4 linked regions of the Arabidopsis thaliana genome follow. The protein of the gene in region 2 purifies or fractionates together with the protein of the main gene of each other region. This does not show direct contact. Each region holds a gene or a part of one and is shown on either strand. Other genes may lie near its edges. The genes, in order: AT4G36080, NRPB5, AT1G61700 and PAD2.

Evidence for each region.
Region 1: the proteins of NRPB5 (region 2) and AT4G36080 fractionate together in Arabidopsis thaliana (co-fractionation; one large-scale study listed by BioGRID). This does not show direct contact.
Region 3: the proteins of NRPB5 (region 2) and AT1G61700 fractionate together in Arabidopsis thaliana (co-fractionation; one large-scale study listed by BioGRID). This does not show direct contact.
Region 4: the proteins of NRPB5 (region 2) and PAD2 fractionate together in Arabidopsis thaliana (co-fractionation; one large-scale study listed by BioGRID). This does not show direct contact.

What each region holds. Positions count from the first base shown.
Region 1 is NC_003075.7:17,074,989-17,079,675, forward strand, and holds the start of AT4G36080 (phosphotransferases/inositol or phosphatidylinositol kinase), read right to left. Parts: upstream 3,052-4,687; 5' UTR 2,641-3,051; coding exon 2,583-2,640; intron 2,377-2,582; coding exon 1,661-2,376; intron 1,515-1,660; coding exon 1,389-1,514; intron 1,289-1,388; coding exon 1,203-1,288; intron 1,029-1,202; coding exon 920-1,028; intron 427-919; coding exon 331-426; intron 201-330; coding exon 138-200; intron 54-137; coding exon 1-53. Other genes in the region: AT4G36090 (oxidoreductase, 2OG-Fe(II) oxygenase family protein), read right to left, coding at 3,388-3,724, 3,890-3,961, 4,058-4,368, 4,455-4,540, 4,645-4,687.
Region 2 is NC_003074.8:7,890,289-7,894,368, reverse strand, and holds NRPB5 (Eukaryotic rpb5 RNA polymerase subunit family protein), read left to right. Parts: upstream 1-2,019; 5' UTR 2,020-2,147; intron 2,148-2,257; 5' UTR 2,258-2,274; coding exon 2,275-2,472; intron 2,473-2,723; coding exon 2,724-2,903; intron 2,904-2,994; coding exon 2,995-3,108; intron 3,109-3,198; coding exon 3,199-3,324; 3' UTR 3,325-3,566; downstream 3,567-4,080. Other genes in the region: PMH2 (putative mitochondrial RNA helicase 2), read right to left, coding at 1-219, 359-457, 598-1,009, 1,104-1,231, 1,336-1,728.
Region 3 is NC_003070.9:22,785,477-22,788,944, forward strand, and holds AT1G61700 (RNA polymerases N / 8 kDa subunit), read left to right. Parts: upstream 1-1,535; 5' UTR 1,536-1,628; coding exon 1,629-1,664; intron 1,665-1,784; coding exon 1,785-1,843; intron 1,844-2,424; coding exon 2,425-2,519; intron 2,520-2,610; coding exon 2,611-2,636; 3' UTR 2,637-2,904; downstream 2,905-3,468. Other genes in the region: AT1G61690 (phosphoinositide binding protein), read right to left, coding at 1-581, 669-837, 1,193-1,306; AT1G61710 (Cysteine/Histidine-rich C1 domain family protein), read right to left, coding at 3,383-3,468.
Region 4 is NC_003076.8:26,436,608-26,440,415, reverse strand, and holds PAD2 (proteasome alpha subunit D2), read left to right. Parts: upstream 1-1,644; 5' UTR 1,645-1,738; coding exon 1,739-1,911; intron 1,912-2,296; coding exon 2,297-2,711; intron 2,712-2,806; coding exon 2,807-2,971; 3' UTR 2,972-3,246; downstream 3,247-3,808. Other genes in the region: AT5G66150 (Glycosyl hydrolase family 38 protein), read left to right, coding at 1-65, 156-221, 329-441, 533-617, 692-946, 1,017-1,085, 1,176-1,403; ATRAD17 (RADIATION SENSITIVE 17), read right to left, coding at 3,325-3,522, 3,624-3,684, 3,776-3,808. UniProt on the Arabidopsis thaliana protein: The proteasome is a multicatalytic proteinase complex which is characterized by its ability to cleave peptides with Arg, Phe, Tyr, Leu, and Glu adjacent to the leaving group at neutral or slightly basic pH.

The sequences.
Region 1 (4,687 bases), on a different chromosome or scaffold from region 2:
ACAGTACGCTTGAAGGTATTGAATTTCCCAACAAAGGCATCCAAGATACGTCCCTATAAACAGATGATGAGTAAAGTAAGTTAATGATTAGAGCAGCCAACCGATTCTAATATGAGCTCTCAGGTGTAAAGTTATACCAACAATATTCGCGCTTCATCCATTGACTGCTGATCAATGCCTTTCTCAAATATCGGTTCTACCTGAACCCAATATAAGTATTAAGTTATACTAAAATCTTGATTCAAACATAATGGAGAGATTATGTCACATAAATGTTAAGTAATATATCGAATTTAAATAAGGCAAACTAGATGAAAAAAATAGGTTTACCAGATTTAACATCAGACGCGCACAAGTTGTATGGATGTTAAGAGAGAGGGTCGAGTCATGCATGTTCCTTGAAAATAAGTAGATGATCCGCGATAACTGCCACGTTGTTTACAGTCAAATAAGATGAATTGTAAAAGAAAAATCACCCATAGAGTAGACAATGGAATGGGAAAAGATCTAAAAGAGAGAAGCCTGATTGATGTTGGCAAGAAAGATTGACCAATATGTTGTTCCTAAGATTAGTTGTTTATTGGCATCTCGATCTGTCAGAATTTTTTGGGAGGCCCTAGGTTTCAAGTCTATAAGCAAGGAACATATTTCCCAAGTGTGAGCACTTTCTGATCACAATTGATAAGACTGTTAAGATGAGGATCTATTTTAATACACAACCACATATACATAGCAAGAACTGTGTGTACTGGAACACATTAGTCTCACCTACTATAGAATCCAATGTTTTGCAAAGTTTCCAGAACTTAACTCTCTCAACTAAGAAGAGCTAATCTAGGAAGAGAGGACTAACAAATAAAAACAAAAACAAAGATAAGGTAAAGTAAGAAATAAATTGCACAGACACAACGGGAAGCACCTGAGAAAGGGACAAATCTGCTCGAACATGGTGAACAATCTCGGCCAGTAGGCTGTAAGCCAGAGGTCTCAAAGACTCAAAGCATGCTCGCCCCGTTCCAACTAGAACCCTGACACAGAAAAAAATAGCAAATAGATGACATAAGTCATTATTTGTTAATATATTATACTGCGGCACAGTGAAATTATACAGAACAGTAGAAGGTCTACTTGATAAAACAAAACAGCTTCCTGACAGGTGTACAAGTTTAAGAATTCAGAAAGGCAAAAAAGGCACATTATACCTCTCTTCCAAAAGAGTGTCAATAAGAGGAAATAAACCTCTCTTGAAATCCGTCCCAAGTACATGCTTTAGTGAGACTAATAGTTCCTGCATTTCATAGACCAAAAAAATATTCTTTACTTGCAAGCCCATGACTGTATTACAAGGTGAAAACATAAAGAAGAAAAAGGAACAGACAGTTCTCCACCTTTCTGATAGATGCAGAATCCGAACAGGTGACAAGCAAATTTACAATGCTCTTACAAATGCTTTCTTCATGCGGCTTGATATATTCGGCACAACTTTTTAACAAATAAGTCAAAAAGGAAACGGTCTGCAAACAAACACTACAAGTCAATATCCCTTAAAAAACAAAATAATTCAGGTGAAACAACAAGGCAGTGTAGGCCTTAATTAAATATTTTTCTCACTGCCCAAATAAGTTATGGTTTCCTTCTGGATAGAGAGCCATTGTCTCACCTTAACCTGAGCACCCTTCAGTTCGATGAACTGAGGCTTCATATGTGAAGAAACTTTCTCAGGTCCAGGAATAGATATAGCAGCAACCATCAGGGGTAACAAATTAGGAATATTAATCTGAACAAGTCTGCTATACAGCTGAAAAAGAAACATAACGACGAGGGGGCTCTCTGTGACTATTTTGAATGAACGAGTACTTGGGTTGATCTGCCCATTCCTGGAAGGTGCAGTAATGGACAGCGACTGATCAGATGGTGTAGGTATCTCCACAGGTTTCACTTCTTCCATTTTGACATTCTCGAAAAAATGGCTAACCGTCAATCTGAAGTTCTGGTATATTTTGCAGACAAAATCCAAGAATGGTTGAACCTCATTTTCTAATGTTGGCCTAAAGTTCCTAAGAAGATCAAAGATGATGCGAATGCATATTAACCCATTTTCTTCATTATCTGTCGTGAGCACCTGCATTGCAACTTTCAAGAGGTCTTGCACAAAAGGACGAAGAACCTCGCTATGTGGTAGACGATTGAGGATCTCAACCACAATGTTGCGTAGTTTGTGCTCAATATTATCAGTAAATTGAGGCTTTGTAATCTGAAGAAGAATCACTGAAGATGCCCGGAAGTAACATTTCAGAAAATTCAAGTACTCAGCCGTATGTGTGATCTCTAGACTGTCCCTGACCTCCACCACCATCGCAAGCCTCTCCTCAATAGCTATAGAACACAAAAACAAGCTTCGAGTAAGTGTCGCTACATTTTTAAATTAACTTGAACTGACTCAAAATCAAACAAAAATTCCTCAGACAAAATCAAAGCTTGAAGAAATTTTCAAATCCAAAATCAAAGAAACTAATTCTGAGCAACAAACAAACAACCCAACGACGAAATGAAGAGAAAGAGCAGAGAATGAGTGGTATTACGTAGGTCAGGCTCCACGAGACGACGAGAGTGTTGCTCAAAATTCTGAATTGGACTCATGGCTATAAAAAAAGCTGACCCAGACAAGCGAAAACGCTGTCTTAGGGTTCCGTCACATAGTAGGAATAGTAAACGTTGCTTCCTCCTCCTCCTTTCTAAAACCCAAACCGCGACGATCCCTAACGCTAAGCCCAAGGTGCTCCACTAGGTCAGACACTAACAAGGGTTTATCAAATTAAGCTAATTTAATAAGAGTCGGTTATCTGGTATAACACCAATAGCCTCGAGGTTAACGATGGAAGATGATGAATTTTCCCTCTCGATTTTTTTTTTTGGTGTGGGTCTCTCTGCGAGACTCCCCTGAAAAGAGAAAGCGAGGAGAACCTTTGAGAACTCGAGCGTAGCAGTGCAACGAAACGAAATTCAGCAGCCGAGTTATATATAAAGGTCCCAACTTTTTTTATATAAAAAGTCCCCATTGTTCCCTCAAATTTCAGAAATGCGAAGAAAACAAAATCTTATGGTTAAGGAAATGTAATTAACACTGATAATATAGTTGTGTTCGTTTTTTATAATCATCGAACAAGTTTTACACGGAGAATGAAAGTTTACAGAAAAAAAGAGAGAAATCTTTCACGCCATTTTTTTTTTCTTTCAGAAGAAACCAATTGGATGATATTTTCGTCTATTCAACCATATAGTTGAAATTATCGTAAAAAATTCGGTCAAAACGAAAAGAATTATTAGAAGCAATTTCTATAATTTGTTCTGTGGTAAAATCAAATATTATGTTCGTGTTACAAATTCTCAGACGTTGTCGGAGCTAGTAACCTTGGGTCTATAGGACCTATTAGGAGTATGTCGTGAAGTTTCTCTTCGTTGGCCCGATGATGACCGCTCTCGACTCTCAGAATGATAATCTCTCGACCTACGATACTTGCTTCCTCCTCCATGTGCAGTTCGATTGTTGTGATTACTACCATTTTGATCAATGCTGGATCTTGAAGAGCTAATGACTGCATCAGCAGGAGTACTCGGCGTGGTGTGTTCGTATGGCAACGGCTTAATCTCCTCCAAATCAGGTTCCGGGGTGAATCCGACTGGTCTTTTCGACTCGTCCATTTTCCTAAACGTGATCGATATCCTGAAAGCAGAACCGACGATAGCAAAAACAGTATGAACAAAACAAAACGAGATAACACCGATAAATTGCAAAACACCAAATCCTTTTGTAAAAAGAGAGAGTAATGGTTTCATTACCAAACATATAAATAAACGTTGACAAACAATCAAGGTGCTAACAAATTACCTCTTTGTGGGAACGGCAGGTACACAATGCTTAGCGACATCAGCTCCATTACCCTTGAGCACTAGAACTGATCTGAAGCAAAAAAAGTGAAAAACTCGTCAAAAAGTTAAGCAACAGAAGCTTCAGTAGAATAAACTCAGAGAGGGTACGCAAACTTTAGTGATTTACCCGACAGGAAGCGGTATAGAGTAAGAACCGGAGAATTCACCAGGTCCTAAGACTTTGAGATTTGAACCAAAGAGTATATTGCATTCACTGAGGAATGATACTGTGCAGAAAGGGCGGAGGAAGTCATGGTTATCGATGTGAGGAGGTATGCAATCGTCTTCCTCATAGATATTGACGATACAACTATCCGGTACACAAGTTGGAGGAAGTACATGCCACCCAACCAACCTTTTGATTATTACTTTGAAAATAGATGGCATTGGATCAACATCTCCACGTTGAAGGATTCCGGGTGGGTTTCCCGCTTTGTCCTATCCAAAAAACAAAAAACTCTTTCCATATTCACTATAGTTGATAAAATGTTTTCATTTTTAAAGATGAGGAAAGAGTCACTTACCGGTGCATAGTTATAACAACATCCGAATTGAATAGTAACTCGTCCTTTGCCTCTCATCCACTTATGCGGAGCGGTAAAAGTACGCTCTAGATATCGAAAAAGAACCAAAAATTCAAGATTAGATAAGTACCGTTTAGAGTTTTCAAATTCACATTATGCAAAAAGCAATGAAAGAAAACCAGAAGCAAACCTCGCAATTCTCCTCTACGGCCTTTCTCTTGTAGTTCATAGAC
Region 2 (4,080 bases):
GACATTAGGTACATCAAGTCCACGGGCAGCAACATCAGTCGCAACAAGAATATTGAAATGCCCATCTCGGAAACCAGCAAGCGTTCTTTCCCTCTGACTCTGGGATATATCACCGTGTAAAGCTTCACATTTGAAGCTTCTAGCCAATGCATATGAAAGGCGATCAGCATCTCGTTTTGTTTGTGTAAAAACAATGCATTTTCCTCCTTTGGCATGCTCCTGCAAGGAAAATTGATATTATTAACTCTTTCCATATACAACTGACAACTCCGAAAAAATACACAAATAACTTACTCAGTTACTGAATAACACAAAATTTAACTCATACTCGTTTAATAGCAAAGTAAGGAAAGCATACCGTTACAAGAGGACCAATAATGGATGCTCTTCCATAAGAATCTGCTATGATAGAATATGTCGTAATTCCATCTGCTAGTTTCTGATCAGAATCTCCAACCTGAATAACACATCACAGTTAGGCAAACAAAAACATAGAAGCACATTTCACATAAGAAATCACTTCATTAACAACTCTGCTAACTCCAAGATCAATTATTCAGAATTGTGAGAAATTTCAGAGGGTACAAGACTACTCACAAGATCAACTGTCAAAGGATTATTCAGGTACTTCTTAGTGAGAGATCTGATCCAACTCGGCATTGTTGCAGAAAACATCATACTCTGACGTTTCTCAGGCAACTTTTCCAATATTATTTCAACATCCTCAGCAAATCCAACTTGAAGCATCTGATCAGCTTCATCCAGAACCACAAACTGAACTTCCGATAGATTCAAAGCTCCTCTCTTCATCAGATCAATGACACGACCTGGAGTTCCAACCGCCACATCAACACCATAGTCAAGCTGCCTCATTTGCTGTCCAATCGGTGTACCTCCATAAAGACAAATAGTATCCAAGCTCGGAGCAGACTCCCTAAACTCCTTCTCAACCTGGCGAGCAAGCTCTCTTGTCGGTGCCAAAACCAAACAAAGCGGATTCCTCCCTCGTCTATCACATCAAAAACCACATAAAACCCCAAAAATCAGTAAACCAACCAGAAAACATAATTCTCTGAACCTCAAATGACTCAGTAAACACAAACCCATGTTTAGCGTTGTATTTGATGATTTTGTCAATGATAGGAATCCCAAAAGCAAGTGTCTTTCCCGTTCCAGTCCTAGCACGACCAATCATATCTCGACCCTCCATCGCTGGCTCCAGCACAGCTTTCTACTCAAAACCACAAAACTTAAAACCCACTTACCCTTCTTCCAAAAACATGGGAACACGAAAAGCTGAACAATTTAAAATTTTGATCTCACAACATTACATACCTGAATAGGAAAGAGTTTCTCAATACCCTTACTACTCAAAGCTTTAACAATCTCCGGAGATATCCCAAGCTCAGATATCGCAAGCCCATCACCACCAACACTCTCCGAATCACCAACCCTTCTCTCGCTACTCTCAGAGATCGCAAATCCAGCTTGAGAAACCATCGAAGCTCTAAAATCCAACGGCCCAGATTGAAAATGAATTCCTTTCGCTTCAACACCAAACGGAAACCCAGCTTTGACATCGGAAGATCCAATTAAGGCTAGGTCGGAGACTCTAGTGGCGGCTGGGGCCAGGTTGTGAAACAGAACAGTATTGATTGAGGTCAACGAAGCGGAGAGATTCCTCTTCGACGCATCAAGGAGAGATCGTCGTAGCACTGTAGTGATCATTTTCAGATTCAGGTGTTCTCTTGATAAGGAAAATGTAAAACCCCAAAATTTGGAGAATTAGGGATTTAGAGAGATGAAGAAAGAAGGCAAAGGGTTTTAGTTCCAACAAGAACAGTGTAATAAGTTGAGAAAAATCAACTAAAGGGTTTAAGTATGTTGGGTCGTACAAGCCCATTGGGCCTTTATCAGGCTATTAAGGATTGGAGTTTAAATATCGAAAATAAAGTTGAGGGTTAAAACATAAAGTCGGTATAAATTGGGAGTTTCAAATGCAATAAAAGCTTCAATATAATAGAATTGAGAAAAGGGTTCGAGGTAAAAGGAGAAAGCTTGAAACGCCGCTTCTTCTTCTTCTTCTTCCACTGTCGTTCTCTCTGTAAATCGCTTCTTCAATCATCTCTGTGGATTTGTCTCTATTCGTAAGTTTTCGTATCTGTGTATATATTCTCAAAGAGATTGATAAACTCTTAATTGTTTCTGTCAATTTTTGAAAAACCCTAATTTTGATATGGTTTTGGTAAAGCTGCAGATAACTTGGTGAAGAAGATGTTGACGGAAGAGGAGCTCAAAAGATTGTACAGAATCCAGAAGACGTTGATGCAGATGTTAAGGGATCGTGGATATTTTATCGCGGATTCTGAACTTACGATGACTAAACAACAGTTTATTAGGAAACATGGTGATAACATGAAAAGAGAGGATCTTGTTACTCTTAAGGCTAAGCGAAATGATAATAGTGATCAGGTTTGTAGTTGTATGTCTCTCCTTCAATGTGATTATCAGCTTCTCTTTAGTGTTCTTTAGCTGGAGACTATCATTATTTATCTAGTTGTTGAATGTGAATAGTAAGTAGACATGGAATGTTACAGAGAGCTAGATTTTGACAAAAGTATAGATAAATGTCATCTCTTTAATCTCTAAGAAGCTGTGGATATGGTAGAAAGATTGTTTATGTGTGTTTGATTTAGTCGCTGATTCATGTGCTCTTGTTGTAGCTCTATATATTCTTCCCTGATGAGGCGAAAGTTGGTGTGAAGACGATGAAAATGTACACGAACAGGATGAAATCAGAGAATGTGTTCAGAGCTATTTTGGTTGTGCAACAGAACTTGACCCCGTTTGCTCGAACTTGCATTAGTGAGATCTCTTCTAAGTTTCATCTGGAAGTTTTCCAGGTAAAACAAATCACTTTGTGTCTTGACTCTTGATGATGATGTATCCACATCACAATCCTACTAAACCATGATTTGGTGGTGGATGCTGCAGGAGGCGGAAATGCTAGTGAACATTAAAGAACATGTTCTTGTTCCTGAGCATCAAGTTCTTACCACTGAAGAGAAGAAAACTTTACTGGAGAGATACACAGTGAAGGAGACACAGGTTAGTAGTATATAGAAACTTTGTTTGAATTCTTGGTGATGAAATTTTTGTTGTGTTATTAAATGTTTGGAACTTTGTGGGTGTTGTTAGCTTCCAAGGATCCAAGTGACTGATCCAATCGCAAGATACTTTGGACTAAAACGTGGGCAAGTCGTGAAGATCATTCGTCCGAGTGAAACGGCTGGTCGTTATGTTACCTATCGTTATGTTGTATAAGCCAAAGCAAAAGGCTTTTGTGGATTGTAATGCGAATTGAACGCTGAGAGTTGTGAAACATAAGAGTAATGCTTTTGTACTAAACCAAACTGATGACTGTGTTTTATTTTTGTTTGTCCGATAGGAGAAATTAAAGCTTGAAACAACTTATTTGTATTAGTTTTCTATCCAAAAACTTGCAAGATCCGATTCCGACTTGTTTGTATTTGTTCATCCCAACAAATGCCATATTTTGTTAATAATCTGATTCATCACTTGTTTGTCGATAATCCCCATTCCTTAACACCCTAAAAAGAAAAAAATCGTAAATATCAATTTTTAAAATGTTCAAAACTGATACTTCTTCCAGAGTATTACTGACTTCAGATCAGCTGTGGATGAGTGTTGACGGTTGTACAGGCGCCGTTCTTGAGTTTTTTTCAAAATGTCTCCAAATGGAGAAGCTGGGGGATGGTGTTGAGATGGCTACCATTGATTTGCATGCCCTTGTGGGTGGTGTTGACTGTTTTACTCATCTCAATGATTCTTATACCACCACCTGAACGCCTTTCAACGTTTATGGGATCTCAGCTTTGTAACCCTCAGAATCACCAAGTATGTGTACAAGAACCCGTTCTTGGGCCTATAAGACTGGATGAAACTAAATCTGGATTCACTGCAAAGGGGATCACACCCAAGGAGCTTGGTATTATTATGCTAGCTATGCAGAGCCAAGCCTTTTCGTTCAGCAGCTAGTTGCATGCTCTTGCTATGCAG
Region 3 (3,468 bases), on a different chromosome or scaffold from region 2:
CTTGTCAATACCCCCAGTCTTCTGAGGATTAGCACTTCGCGGAATTTCACGGAGAAGAGACGAAAATTCGCCCTCCAAACTTATAGTTGCTGGTTTCTTATCTTCATCGTCAGACCACCCAAGCTCCCTCAGGTCAGCTGCCAAATCATCATTTCCTTTACCCCCTTGACGTAGAGGCTTTTGTGATTTGCTAGATTCTTTGGTAGCAGCCTTGTTCTGCGTCTCAGCAACATTTCGCATAGACAGTTCCCTTTTCCGGTTCCTTCTTAAAGATATCTCTAATGCGTCGGCCTCTCTCTCAAGTTCCCTCCCTCTCTTAAATGCTTTTAGAGCTTCATCAGATTTCCCTTCTCCTTTAAGAATTCTGTACTTATTCTTCGCTTCTACTGCTTGTTTACGCAATTCTTCAGGACTAGCATCCAACTCCATACCTTTATTACTACTGCTACTTGCCATTTCTTTAGAAGCATTCCTGTCTGTGCTAGACACAGATTCAGATGAAGAAGATACATCAACATCAGAGCCTAGAATCTCACTGAGAACATCATCCTCATTCTTTACAGTCCTTTTCGAGCTACCTCCTGAACAAATTCACAATCTCTTTACATCAAAAACTAGCAGATAACACAAAAGTGTCATAAATAAGATCACTATAGGTACATAAATACCTTTAGCAGCTCTATTTTTGTAACCATGACGCAACTCAAACCGTGCAGCTTCTTCAATTTTCTTACATGGTTCACATATACGCACAGGTGAGTCACCTTGTCCACGTAGTGACAACCTTTGCTGAGTGCAGGTTCCACAGAACAATCCCCCACATCTCCGGCAATGATGCTGCTCGCTCAAAAAAACAAAGCCAACAGAAACTAAGAAAAATTAAGCAAATTCAAAGGTTTTTGGGAGACATAGAAGAATCCAGCAAGTCACAAGTCTAGTAATACACAAACCACAAAACATCCAGATTCACCAAATTTACTCAAAAATATGGAATCTATCAAATAGGCACATCACCAGAAACCGATCATTCAGTGAAGTTTTCCGATAAACAGATTCTGAATTAGATCTCGAAGAAGAATCGACTAAGACGAAACTAAATTTCGATCGAAGAAACTAAGAATCTAAAGATCGCGATAGCAATAAGCAAGTACCAATTGATAGAGAGAGTAAGGAAATTAAGAGAGAGGAAGACCTTGCGATTGATGAAAGTGAATTGAGAAGAACATCCTTGACAATGAGAAGCATCAACGACCCAACTATTTCCTCTTAGAGATGGCTTCGGCGGTAATCCGATCTTCTCCAACATTTTCCCGTCTGATTCTTCTTCTCCTCCGCCGCGAAACGAACTTGGTTTTGATTTTGATCTTACCGGAAATGTAAAAGATCGAGCAGATGAAGAAGAAGAAGAAGAAGAATACTTTTCCTCCTCTATTGTCAGATATAAAATAAATAATTTTAACTAATACGGTATCGTTTTAGCTAAAACACATAATAGGACTCAATATATAAAGCAATAATAATTAGACATGAAACTAATTTTTGCTTTGAGACGAGAACGAAGTTAGAAAGAGACAAGCCCTAAAGATCGCTTTGAGACGATAAACTCTTAAAGTTTCGATTCGTTCACGATGATCGTCCCTGTTCGTTGTTTTACTTGTGGAAAGGTTTGTTTTTTCTTCTCTCTTTTTGTACGATTTCGATTTGTTATATATATATGTGTGTGACAAATCTCTAGGGTTTGTAGTATTGAGATTTATGAAGCTTTTGTTTATGATTTTTTGTAGGTGATTGGGAACAAATGGGACACATACCTTGAACTTCTCCAGGCTGATTACGCTGAAGGGTAAGCGATATATAGTTTATGATTAGAAAAAGAATCATAATTTGTGAGAAATTTTTTTGGTGAACATGAGAGTGATTGAATCTTGGAATTTTGAACGTTTTCTGACATTTTCTTAGTTGAAATGAGAGTCATGTAAAAGATGAAACAATAGTGGAACATGACAATAGAATGATTTGATGGTTTTGTGTAGTCAAAGAGATTGCATGATCTTGTCTTGTATGATCATCTTGAAAGTTTATACATGTTTTAGCCTTGTTACTAAAAGCATGAAGTTAGATCATTGGGATTTTTCGATTTTCTTGTTTTAATCGCTAGTGTAATCTTTAGCCCGTTTGGTTCTAGGTGTTAAGCTACATGATTTGGAATTGCGCAATTTCGTTTTTGTTTTAGTTGCAATTTGATCATCTTGAAGTTCATAGATGTTATCTTAAGTGTTAGTAAAGAGCATGATGGTAGGTGATCACTGATATATTCCATTCTCTTGTTTCTATCTAATCTTTTAGCTACTTTGGTTTTAGGCATTATGCTAAAATTGCATTTTGTTGAACTGAAAATCTGAATTTTGGTTTTGGAATACGCAGGGATGCTCTTGACGCGCTTGGATTAGTCCGTTACTGCTGCAGGCGTATGCTTATGACTCATGTCGATCTAATCGAAAAGCTTCTAAACTACAACAGTAATATCTCCATACCCGGTTCTTTTGCCTTGTGTTGCCTCTGCTCTATTCTTTTTGTTAACTTGCTTATTCGAATACTTCTCTTTTGCAGCTATGGAGAAATCCGACCCCAATTAAAAAAAGATGCTATAATGAATAACAAATCATCAAGAGCTGAAGTGAAGGAGTGATGCATCTCATCCATGTGGGCGTCTTAATAAAACCACAATGTTTCAGAAATTTTGGTTTAATTTATAACTAGGAATGTTGATATTTCAATGTTTTCTGATGTTCTTGTTCGGTTTTAGAAATCTAGACAATTTTTCGAGCCAAAAATAAAGCTCAAGCCTGTAGAGTCATCATCTATTGATTTGTTTTTGGTAATCTAATCCTGATAAATAGTAAAGATCACACATTTGATAAGGTTCAAATCTACAATCTAGATCACGAGTAGGAAGCAGCTCTTTTTGTACGATATCAAATTGGTAATGAGAACAGAGCACATAAAAACAATTTGAATGGAGCTCCCATTTTATAACCGGAGAATATCAAAGTTTTTTAGTTACAAGTGGTTGTATTAATTCAAGGAAACCATTTAACAAAAGAAATATAAATATTTATATTAAATATACACTATAATTAGTTGAATATATATTTATTTTGGATCAAATGTTTATTAAGATATATTTTTATTATAAAAATTTATTCTGAAATATGTTTATTGAACAATATACTGAACTTAACAAACCAAGGAGACTTTTTTTATTTTATTTTTTTTCAAACACAAACCAAGGAGACAAATATGAAGAAAACAAATTACATTTGAATAGAGAGGTAGAGCTATATAACTCACTGAATGCTTGGAAATATTGTCTATTAGTCTATTACAGATTAAGATTTTCTAAAAGAATTTGAGCCCGCTGAACCCAGAATTTGAGAGTTTGGCTTAGACTCAAATTCGAGTTTTTAC
Region 4 (3,808 bases), on a different chromosome or scaffold from region 2:
TAACAGATATGACTACAGCTAAGGAGTTCTATACTGACTCTAATGGAAGAGACTTTCTGAAACGGGTACCCTAAGATTTTTCTGTGTTCTCGTATTTTAAACACCAATGAGATCGTATTGCCCGGTTTCAACAAATAGATTAAACTCTATTGCAGGTCCGGGACAACCGAACAGACTGGCATCTCGAAGTGAATGAGCCAATAGCAGGAAACTACTATCCGGTAAACTATTTGATGTCCAGCAGAAATTGCAAAACCAAGAAAAATTTGGACTATATCGATTGTGAATGGCTTTACAGTTCTAACGCATTGTTAGTGTATCTTTTCAGCTTAATCTTGGAATGTACATAAAAGACGAGAAAGCAGAGTTGTCGGTGTTGGTTGATCGGGCTACTGGGGGTGCAAGTATTAAGGACGGTGAAATAGAGTTGATGCTTCACAGGTTCCAAATTTCATTAGTGTCATTAGTCTGTATTTTTAAAACATGAAACATTATTGTGTAGTTGACACTGATGAAACATCCATGGGAACAGGAGAACGTCCATGGATGACTCGAGAGGAGTGGAGGAGAGCCTTGTAGAAACTGTGTGTGTGAATGACACCTGCGCAGGATTGACGGTATGAATGATTAATTGAGAAATTGTGTGTGTTTTGTCCAGGACAAAACTTGATACATACTTGTGTAAATGCAGATTCGTGGGAATTACTATGTAAGCATAAATAAGGTAGGAGAAGGAGGGCGGTGGAGACGAGAGACTGGACAGGAAATATACTCACCTCTTCTAATGGCATTCGCACACGAGAACAAGGAGAAATGGAAAGCCTCAAATACTGTGAAAGGTTATGCCATGGATCATCTCTACACCTTGCCTCAAAACATTGCTCTCATCACTCTTGAGGAGTTGGATCTCGGGAACGTCCTTCTTCGCCTGGCTCATCTCTACGAGGTACGTACAGTTAGATGTTCTTGAATTGGGATATACCTGACAGTAATTGAGTGTTGAGCGTTGTTTACAGGCGGGAGAAGACAGTGATTACTCTAAAATCGCTAAAGTTGAGTTGAAGAAGTTGTTTTCCGGCAAAATGGTAAGAAACACACTTGCTCATCTACATGTGGAGAGATACTCTAACATACTAGCTAGCTAGGTGGTGAATGAATCCATACTATTTTTGCAGATCAAAGAAGTGACGGAAATGAGTTTGTCAGCAAATCAAGAGAAAGTAAAGATGAAGGAGAAGATGAAGTGGAAAGTGGAGGGTGAAGCGGAACAACCTTCTTCCCCGCTAAGAGGCGGACCCGTTGACAAGTCGACTTTAGTAGTAGAGCTTGGTCCCATGGAGATTCGTACATTTGTGGTTCAGTTTTATCAGAAACAACGAAGAAGAAAGTTGTTTGTGGGATGATTGCGCCAATATGTTTGTACAATGTTTTAAATCATTCATTCATCAACGGTTTGGTTAGTTAGAAAGCGCGGGAGGAAGGTTCATGTATTTTTTAATCGACCATTATACTGTGTTAATGGGCCTGTTATGGAAGTTTTGGGTATATAAGGCCCATTTAAAGGAAATGATGAGTGCGCGATTTGTCTCTCTTCTCAAAAACTTGAAGATCTGAGTAGAGTATTTCCTTCTTCTTTTTTTTTTTTTTTTTTCTGTTCTTGGCTTGTCGCAGAAGTTGGGATTCGTCTTTTTATAATTTGCCCTGAAAACGAAAACGAAAATAAAAAGCGGAGAGAGAGATGGCTAGATACGATCGAGCAATTACTGTCTTCTCCCCCGACGGTCACCTCTTTCAAGTCGAATACGCCCTTGAAGCCGTCCGCAAGGGTAACGCCGCCGTCGGTGTCCGCGGTACCGACACCGTTGTCCTCGCCGTCGAGAAGAAGTCCACCCCCAAGCTTCAGGATTCTAGGTTTTATTTCCATCTCTTCACTTTTATCATGGCACCAATTAACAGACTTGCCCTCTCTACTTATTGGATCCTGCTTGGTTTACTCTCAGTTGCTAGTTGACTGAACAATGTTGATACGACTGCTTTATTTTGGTCTTGTTCCCTATTTAATGGAATCTGCAGCTGAAACCCTTGTTTAAAATTGAACCTTGTTCCTAATTGCGATTGTCTCAGTTGTTACTCTTTTCTAACATGTATGATGGCTTTGGCCCTTCCCTGAAAAGAAATCTACTTAATTGTTCAATTCTCTTATACTGCTGCCTAACCAATATATTTTGGAGAGGTATTTGTGTTTCTCTATCTAGTTTGTTAGATGAAGCTGATGTCCTGTGCTTGTTTCTGACAGATCAGCCAGAAAAATTGTGAGCCTTGACAATCACATTGCCTTGGCATGCGCGGGGCTCAAGGCTGATGCCCGAGTCTTGATTAACAAAGCAAGGATCGAGTGTCAAAGCCACAGGCTTACACTTGAGGACCCTGTCACTGTTGAGTACATCACTCGCTACATTGCTGGCCTTCAACAGAAGTATACCCAAAGTGGTGGTGTCAGACCCTTCGGTCTTTCTACTCTTATCGTTGGCTTTGACCCTTACTCTCGCCTCCCTTCCCTATATCAGACTGATCCTTCTGGGACTTTCTCTGCTTGGAAAGCTAATGCTACCGGCAGAAACTCCAACTCTATTAGGGAATTCCTCGAGAAGAACTACAAAGAATCCTCTGGCCAAGAAACTATTAAACTCGCTATCCGTGCTCTGCTTGAGGTTGGTGCCCTCTCCGTCCTAGCTGATATTTTGTTATTTCAGGATTTTTTGTCCTTTGAGATCATAGCTGTTTTGATATCGGCTTTGCATTGCAGGTAGTTGAGAGTGGCGGAAAGAACATTGAGGTTGCCGTAATGACACGGGAGGAAACTGGGCTGCGCCAGCTAGAAGAAGCTGAAATTGATGCAATCGTGGCCAAGATCGAAGCTGAAAAGGCGGCCGCAGAAGCAGCCAAGAAAGGCCCTCCAAAGGAAACTTGATAAAACAATAACTGTTTCTGTTTCTCAATCTGAACTTACCTTCTTCGCTGCTTCTGTTTCTCAATCTTGTTTTGACTCGAGCCAACTCTTTGGCAAAAGAAGAACCTGACCCCATCGTTTTGTTAACTTGAAAATGCTCCAAAAAAAAACTGAAGAAAGGGTTTAAAATTCGCTTGATCTTGATCAAACCAAGGATAAATTTGCTGTTGCTCATTGTTAGATAGAGAAGTGACTCTCCATTTTCTATTTATAAGTAAGCAGAACAATTAGTGTTCCTTCCCTTGATGTTAAGTTGTTAACTATCATACCAGTTCTATCTGACCTAACATATAAGACACTTAAGATGGTGAATGTCACCAGTCTTGTATTTCATCATCTTCAGAAATATCACTGTCCTCCTCATCTGTCTCTTCGCCCATTCCCGGAAACGCATCTGGAGATGCCCTGTAGCTAAGCCATTTCAGCACGGGGCTATACTCTGTGGCCATCACTGATATATCTGCCACTCTTGACCCCTCATAGCTTATGTTCCTCTGCTCTCTCAGATTCTTCTGCATTCACACATCAAATTTGTAAGCATATACAGGTTTGATATGTATTGGACATGTATAATTAGTTTCTATTCCTGAAAAAAAAAGGGAAAGACCCTGACCTTTGTTTGTATTGAGGATTGCTCCACTTGCCAGAGTTTTGGCTTCCGAATCACGTGCCATCTGCATAATCACAATACAGATCAATCGATAATATTATTTTCAAACAAATAAACTATAATACAGTCAGCTGGTATCCGTATGTAAAAGAAACCTGGATGAACATGGCTGCTTGTTTCCATACAAC